2 linked regions of the Coturnix japonica genome follow. The protein of the gene in region 2 purifies or fractionates together with the protein of the main gene of each other region. This does not show direct contact. Links are inferred from orthologs where the notes say so. Each region holds a gene or a part of one and is shown on either strand. Other genes may lie near its edges. The genes, in order: C1QBP and ALYREF.

Region 1 (3,495 bases), on a different chromosome or scaffold from region 2:
TCTAAAAGCAGGTTCCTCCTTACAATCTTACCCACTACACTCAGGACTATTAAGTATTGCCCTGGAATCAACAGGGAGGTTGATCAATAGTCACAAAGTATTCTGCCTCTTCTCGTTGTTCTGTCCTTGGCTGCCTTCAAGCTGAAATAAGAGGCAGCTCTTTAATGCATGGCTGCATGGTGCGGGAGCATCTCCTGCTCTGCCACTGGGGCTGACTCAGACCTTGAGGCATCACCTGGACGCAGCAGGTTGAGTAGAAGCCCAAATCTGCTGCTCTGCAATGCTGCTGATGTTCAGCATCCACAGGACTTGAATTACTGCAAGGAAAGAGCTCCAACTTGTCTGCAGTATTTTTCTAGAGCAGATGCGTTGATACTAACAGGTACAGATGGACTAGATTGGGCTAGAATAGCCCTGGAGAAAAACTGGCCTAACACTGCCCAGCTCTGCAGGCAGCTGCATTAACTTCTCAGGTCAGGGAACACACAGATATCCCTTATGGCAACTGATCAACATGAAGAAAAAAACAACTACTTTTCAGGGAGTTTTGAACACATTTTATTATTCACCTTCATTCCTAATGGTACAAAATGCAGCAGGGGGAGGCAGGTCCAGACAGTCCTGTTTGAGAACCTGAGCTGGGCTGCAACGTAGCATAAATACAAGTGAGGCCCCTCACTGTCCCGTGATGCTCAATTCCCAATTCAGTTACTCCATCTCTGTTGTGAAGATACGTTGTGGTTCTGCTGGTGGAGCACTGCTGTGTAATGCCCACACTGAACGCTGCTTTCCTTCCCTACTGACATTTAACAAAGCTTTTAAGGTCTTCAAGGAATTTAATGTACTCCTGATGCTCCAGCGCAGTGCTGAGCTCAATTAACTCATCAGCAAACGTGTTATCCACTCCTCGGTCAGCCAGGAAATCCATTAAGTGATCATACAGAGCCTGCAACAAGGAACAGAAAACAGCCTTAGCAGAGCACAGCTTCAAATCCTACTTAACTACTGCAATACAATTAGGCTTGTGGGCTCCCCCCTTGTTCCTCATAGAGCTGGTGCTCCTGCTTGGTGCCAATAGCTGCCATATCACCTCCAACAGGGTGAGCAAATGATTCATGATGGAATAGGAGTACAATGTAAATCAGCAGCACTTACCCAGTCGAGGGAATCCGTATTGAGGGTGTAGTTGGTGTCCTTCCAATCTGATTCCCCGGTGGGCTGGAAGCTGACCTCCCTAATGGTGAAGATGTCACTTTCTTCCTCTCCCTCGTGGCCAACCTGAAATAGGAAATGAGGCACAGGATGTATTAGCTGTAATTAGAGGGAACCATCAGCTGCTTCATCCTGCAGGTGGGAACACAACCCCCTTAATGCCACACATTGAGCTGATCAGAAGGTCAGGACATGAGCAGAAAGAAACCCATCCCATCAGTTTCCTTACAGAGATAAAACCTGTGTGAGGAGAAAAGAAGGAGGCAGCATTTTGTGCAGACACAGGAACCCAGAGCACAGCTCACCTCATCCTCGGGGTAATGGCAGTCAAGCACGAGGGTCTGCTTTGTATCATCCTTAATGACTTCCACAACAAAGTTTGGAGTCGATGTGATATCGGGCTGAAGGAGAGAAGCAGCCGATCAGTGCTGAGGGCTGAGCAGGAGCCAGCACAGCCACGAGGTGCCCGCAGTGCTCAGCAGGGGGTGGGATGGTCCATGGGGGTCTCCCAGGGCCGTCCTGCTCTGTGTGTTCCCACTCCCAAAATCAGACTGAGCACACGGCGGCCCTTTGTGGTCCCCTGGCTCTGTGCTGTGCTCACCTCCTCCTGCTCCTCGTGTTTCTGCTCCTCCGGCGCGTCCTCATCCACAGCGGGCGGGATGCTGTTGTTGATGTTGAAGGTAACCGTGATCCTGCACAAAGGACACGAGTTAAACCATCACAGCCGGGAAGGCCCCGCTCGCATCGCTCCCGTTCGTTATTTCATTGCTCACTTTTCCCCGGCGACTTTGCGCACCAGCCTCGCCTCGGTGCCGTGCACCTCCAGCTCCCACCCGCCCGACACTTTGGGCAGCGCTTTGTGCTTCTGGATCTTCCGCTCCTCCTGGATCTCATCCGTCAGGAACTGAGCGAACGCTTTGTCCCCTGCGGGGAGAGAGAAACCGCTCAGCACCGGCACCACCCCCCGCATCCACCCCCACCTCCATCACCACGTGCGGCTCCGTCCCGACTCACCCTCCGTGTGCAGCCCGCCGCAGCCGCAGGACACGCCGCCCGCAGTTCCCCGGCGCGGTCTGAGCAGCGCCGCCCTCCAGCCAACAACAACATCGCTCCGCTGCCACAGGGAACGAGCCGGGAGCGGCTGCGGGACGGACCAGAGCGAGCGGAGCGGGGACAGAGCGGGGCGGAACGAGGCGGCGGAACGAAGGGCTCGAGCGAGCAGCATGGCGAGAAACGGGACGAGGAGGAGGAGAATGACCCGGACGGGATCGGGGCGCTTCCGGAGCTCCGCCCCCGGTAATAAGGGGAGGGAACGAGATACAACGCGGAGTGACCTTGGGGGAGAGACCAGAAGGTTCCAAAGGAGGAGCCGGGCGGGGGGAGCCGCGCTGAGCAGCGCTCCGAGCGGACAGATGAGGCACCTCCATTCTGACAGTGAAACAGCACTTTGATTTTGCTCCTTGTATGTAGAAATTTATTTATTTGTCTTTATTTTCCATCGGTAAAACCTGCCCGGAACACAAACTGAACCATCAACAAATAGAGAGTTTGCTGCAGGAGCTGCTGGGCTCGTTTCCTTCCAGCCCCATCCATTACAGCTCAATGTTAAACACCAGCACAAAGCAGGTCCCGTTTTACACAGCAGCTCTTAACACCACGATGGTTCAAAGCCACAGGTTGCCATGAGTGCTGCCTCTCACAGAGAAGCCATTTTCCTCCCAGTTTTACACCTGTTTGCGATGCAAAACCCCGCTGTCCCTGCACAGATCACAGCCCAGCCCTGCACTGAGCCCTGCACTGAGCCCTGCATTGAGCCCTGCACCGAGCCCTGCATTGAGCCCTGCACTGAGCCCTGCACTGAGCCCTGTATTGAGCCCTGCAGCCCCACTCAGTTCTTGGCTGCTCTGAGTTTCCTGCGGAAATAGTCAGGTGCTGCATCATACAACCAGTCCGCGTCCACCACGCACAGGTCCCGCATGTAGCACTTGTTGGTGTGCAGCAGCCCGTTGTAAACCACGCAGCAGGGTTTGCAGTGGAACAGCACGGACGAGGGGTGGATGGCCACGGGCTGGTGGGAGCTGACGGTGCTGTAGGTGCCGTCCGGCTGCAGCTCGGCCGCGTTCATGAAGAGGCTGTGAGCCAAACAGCGGCGGATGTTGGAGGTGTCGGAGCGGGACGACTCCATGGGCAGCGATAACTGCAGGGACACAGACACGAGGCAGCAGGTCACAGCGTGCAGCACAGACACGGGCATCCCAACACATCTAACACTGCGAGCACAGC
Region 2 (3,909 bases):
AGCCAACAAAGTGGCCCCAAGGTATGCTGACCTGCTCCTCTTCCCAGGGACATTGCCAGTCTGTATAAACTGAAAGCAGGAAATCTTCTACTGAAGAGCATCGTTTACCATCACGAGCGATGGAAGGCTGCAACAGTGGAGCCACCCATTTTGTTTCACAGAGGCTACATCTAAGATGTACATCTGGGGACATCTCACTACTTTGCAAGTTTATACCTACACCCCACTCTTCAAATGTTTGAAGCACACAGAATTGTCAGGTGTCCAAAGCAGACACCACAGGCTGCCTTCCATATCACCTGCAGCAGAGCCCAAACACTATTCCAGCCATCTCTATAATTCCTATCCAAGCATTTGAAAGGAGCATATAAATATTTTCACTTCTTAAGCCAGCTGCACTTTATGCAAGCCTGTCAGTGAGTTTCTCTACTGTGTCCATTTACTAAACATGAACATACAGCACCCAACAAGCTTTCTGGAAGACAGCACCACATGGGAGGAGAGGTGCTCCATCACATCCCTGTCCTGCAGAGAAGCTGGAGCCACAGCACCACACATACTCCTACAAGAGCAACGTGAACGAGGCTCCCACCAAGCCCCTCATTCCTCAGCACTGAGCTGAGCAGAACCATATTAATGACACAATCAGCACAGAAACAAAGAAAACAATCAGTGCAGCTTAGTGGAAAATTACGGGATGGGCAGTAACAAAGAGGTACAAACCCATTAAGTCAGCTTTGCTGCTACATATAATATACACAGATGTTTGTCTGCTCCTGCAGTTCAAGCCAACTGTGAAAAGGAAACATTCAACTGCCACACAAAACACATTAATTCCTTACATTGAGATAACTTTACAGATTCACTTTTACACGTTTGGGCCTGATTACAGCAAACAGGAAATGTATATCAACTGAAACTAAACTCACTTGAGGAAAAAACAGTGGTTTTAAGTGCATCGCTCAATAACTAGGTGACCTAAAAAAGCTCACTTCCAATACTCCTGATGCAGACAGGTTGAACCGGAATGAATTAACAGAAGAAAACATAGAAGTGATTTAGTTATTTTTTTCTAGAGGAGATGCAAGGACCAGAAACCATCCAAAGCTCTTTGCAATGTGACTAAGTCAGGAAAACCCTTCAGATTGGATGCTCCTTGGATCTGCAGATGTTTCTGCACAACTTGTTGCCCACAAGTAAGAGCAGCCCCACAGCTGTGACTGCTGTGTCACAGGCACAGTGACTGCAAACAGCCTGCACCCAGGGCACAGCTGGAACAAGGGATTGAGCTGCAGCTGGTAACTCAGCTAGAACATTTATCTGTCATAAGATACATGTGGTAATTGTGGAAATGACAACATGAGCGAGCAGGTACCCCCTCACAGACCAGACTTCTCAATATCACTGGTGCTTCTATAAGAACACCTTGAGACTGAACAAAACTTTAACAAAAAGTACATAAACAGGTACTATGAAAACAGCGCCAATAGATGTATATATAGAGCTACTGAACGTCTGGAATTACACAGACCTTAAAAGCTCACACAGCCTGTGCTAAGCTCTGCAATCACAGCAGGACTGAGCGAAGGCAACATCCCCCCCACAGCATCGTGGTAGAGATATTTCATATGTGATTACCTACAGCTCCATAAAGACTGGGACTCTTCTGAATCCAGCCACTCCAACTGCTCAGCTCAGAGCCCCAGCAGTGCGTGAAGCAAAGGGCCAGGCACCGTGTGAAGGGCCCTTCCAATGGGAGCAGGGCCAGCAATGCTCTATGGCCACCCCCAGCACCCAGCACCGATGGAATGAATGAAACCCCCCGGGAACAGCGCCGAGCCCGTACCTGGATATCCGCATCTGAGACGCCGAAGTCCAAGTTGGAGACGAGCAGCTTCCCGCCGGTCTCCACCCCGGCGCCGGCCCCGAAGCCGCTGTCGAACAGATCGTGCTGCCACTTCTCGGGGAGCTGCTTCGGCTGGAACGACACGGACGTTTCGCTGAGCGCCGCCGGGTCCCGCCGGGACGGCTCGACCGCCGGCAACGGACAAAGGGCCGCCCGTCCCACCGCCCCCGCCCCGTCCACGAACCGCCGCCCCCCGCCCCGCACACCGGCCCCCTCCCTCCGGGCCCCGCCGACCGGGCTCCGCCCCCGCCCCCGTCCCGTACCCGGCTGTACGGCGCGGGCCGATTCCTGCCGCCGCCCCGGGCCATCACCGGCCTGTTCCTCACGGGGCCGCCGCCCGCTCGCCCGGCTCCCACGCCGCCCCGACCGGGCCCGCCCCCGCGGGTGACGCCGCCTCGGCCCCGGCCTCCCCGGCCGCCGCCCCGACCGCCGCCGCGTTGGCTTCGGTTGAGCTTAATGATATCGTCCAGGGACATGTCCATCTTGTCGGCCATGATGGCGGCTCCGCTCCGGGGCCTGCGCTTCCGGCCGCGCTGCGCCGACGCCGGAAGCGGAAGAGGCGGGACCGGCGGGCGGAGGCGCGCGTTCAGATTGGCGGGGCCTCGTGGGGGCGGCGGGCGGTACTTCCGGCGGGGCGGCGCGGACCGGAGAGCGGCACTTCCGGCGGCGATGAGGGTGAAGGTGCGGAGCTGGAGCGGAGTCGCCTCGTGGCTGTGGGTGGCGAACGACGAGAACTGCGGGATCTGCCGCATGGCCTTCAACGGCTGCTGCCCCGACTGTGAGTGCGGCGGGGCCCGGCACGGTACCCGGTCCGGTACCGGGTATGGTACTCGGTATGGTACCCGGTATGGTACCCGGTCCGGTACCCGGTATGGTACTCGGTATGGTACCCGGTCCCGTACCCGGTCCGGTACCCGGTCCCGTACCCGGTACTGTACCCGGTATGGTACCCGGTCCGGTGCGACCCGGCCCTTCCTGACTTTGTGTCCACGCCGCAGGCAAAGTGCCCGGGGACGACTGCCCGCTGGTGTGGGGGCAGTGCTCGCACTGTTTCCACATGCACTGCATCCTCAAGTGGCTGCACTCGCAGCAGGTCCAGCAGCACTGCCCCATGTGCCGCCAGGAGTGGAAGTTCAAGGAATGATCCTCCCCGCCTCCTCCCGCCGCTCCGGTCCCGGTTCCGTGGGCGGGGAGCGGCGCTTTCCCTCGTGCTGCGCGGCGGGGGCGGCCGCGGCCATAAAGACCCGGAGCGGCCGTTCCGCAGCGCTGCGCCCCCGCCGGCACGATGCGAGCCGCCCGCTGCCTGACTCTGGCTGTAGCCGTGATGCTGCTGTGCCGCCCCGCCGCGCCCTGGTACCGGCAGGCGGCCGCTCCGCTCTCCTACCCGGTGGGCAGAGCCTCGGGGCTGCTCTCCGGTCTCCGCCGCCTGCCCTACAGCCGCCGCTCCGACAGCAGAGGTGCCGCTGCTCCGCTCCGCACCGCGGTGAGTACCGGGATGCTCCGCTCCAGGAACGGGCTGGTACCAGGAATGCCCTGATTCCAGCAATGCCCTGATTCCAGCAATGCCCTGATCCCAGCAATGCCCAGATCCCAGCAATGCCCTGATCCCAGCAATGCCCTGATCCCAGCAATGCCCTGATCCCAGCAACGCCCAGATCCCAGCAATGCCCTGATACCAGGAACACCCACCTGCCCGGCTCCGCGGGCAGCCCTGCTCCAAAGTTCCCACCCAGGAATCTCTGTGATACTTTCCCCACAGGTGCCGTGTGTGATGGATGTGGACCCCAAGCTACGGAGCTGTCGGCTGCTATCGGGAGTCCCCGGTGCTCTGCAGTGCAGTGTGGCTGTAACCGTGTCCTTGGGCTCCACAGAGTGTGGGGGGGCCTGAGGTGGCACGGTGACTATAGTGACAATAAATGCACGTGGAATGGAAAGATGTTGTCTGTCCTTAAGGGGAGGGAAGCCTTTGGGGTTGGGGGGAGCCCACCAGGATCTGGGGCACA

Evidence for each region.
Region 1: the proteins of ALYREF (region 2) and C1QBP purify together in Homo sapiens (affinity purification with mass spectrometry; 3 studies listed by BioGRID and IntAct, with this or other methods). This does not show direct contact. The link is inferred for Coturnix japonica from reciprocal best matches to the Homo sapiens genes ALYREF and C1QBP.

Annotation. Positions count from the first base shown.
Region 1 is NC_029534.1:2,454,614-2,458,108, reverse strand, and holds C1QBP (complement component 1 Q subcomponent-binding protein, mitochondrial), read right to left. Parts: upstream 2,486-3,495; 5' UTR 2,438-2,485; coding exon 2,227-2,437; intron 2,137-2,226; coding exon 1,986-2,136; intron 1,905-1,985; coding exon 1,814-1,904; intron 1,614-1,813; coding exon 1,518-1,613; intron 1,279-1,517; coding exon 1,156-1,278; intron 947-1,155; coding exon 797-946; 3' UTR 535-796; downstream 1-534. Other genes in the region: ATP-dependent RNA helicase DHX33, read right to left, coding at 3,101-3,409.
Region 2 is NC_029533.1:4,445,390-4,449,298, reverse strand, and holds the start of ALYREF (THO complex subunit 4), read right to left. Parts: upstream 2,491-3,909; 5' UTR 2,401-2,490; coding exon 2,170-2,400; intron 1,979-2,169; coding exon 1,847-1,978; intron 1-1,846. Other genes in the region: ANAPC11 (anaphase-promoting complex subunit 11), read left to right, coding at 2,576-2,684, 2,905-3,050; NPB (neuropeptide B), read left to right, coding at 3,192-3,389, 3,666-3,794. UniProt on the Homo sapiens protein: Functions as an mRNA export adapter; component of the transcription/export (TREX) complex which is thought to couple mRNA transcription, processing and nuclear export, and specifically associates with spliced mRNA and not with unspliced pre-mRNA.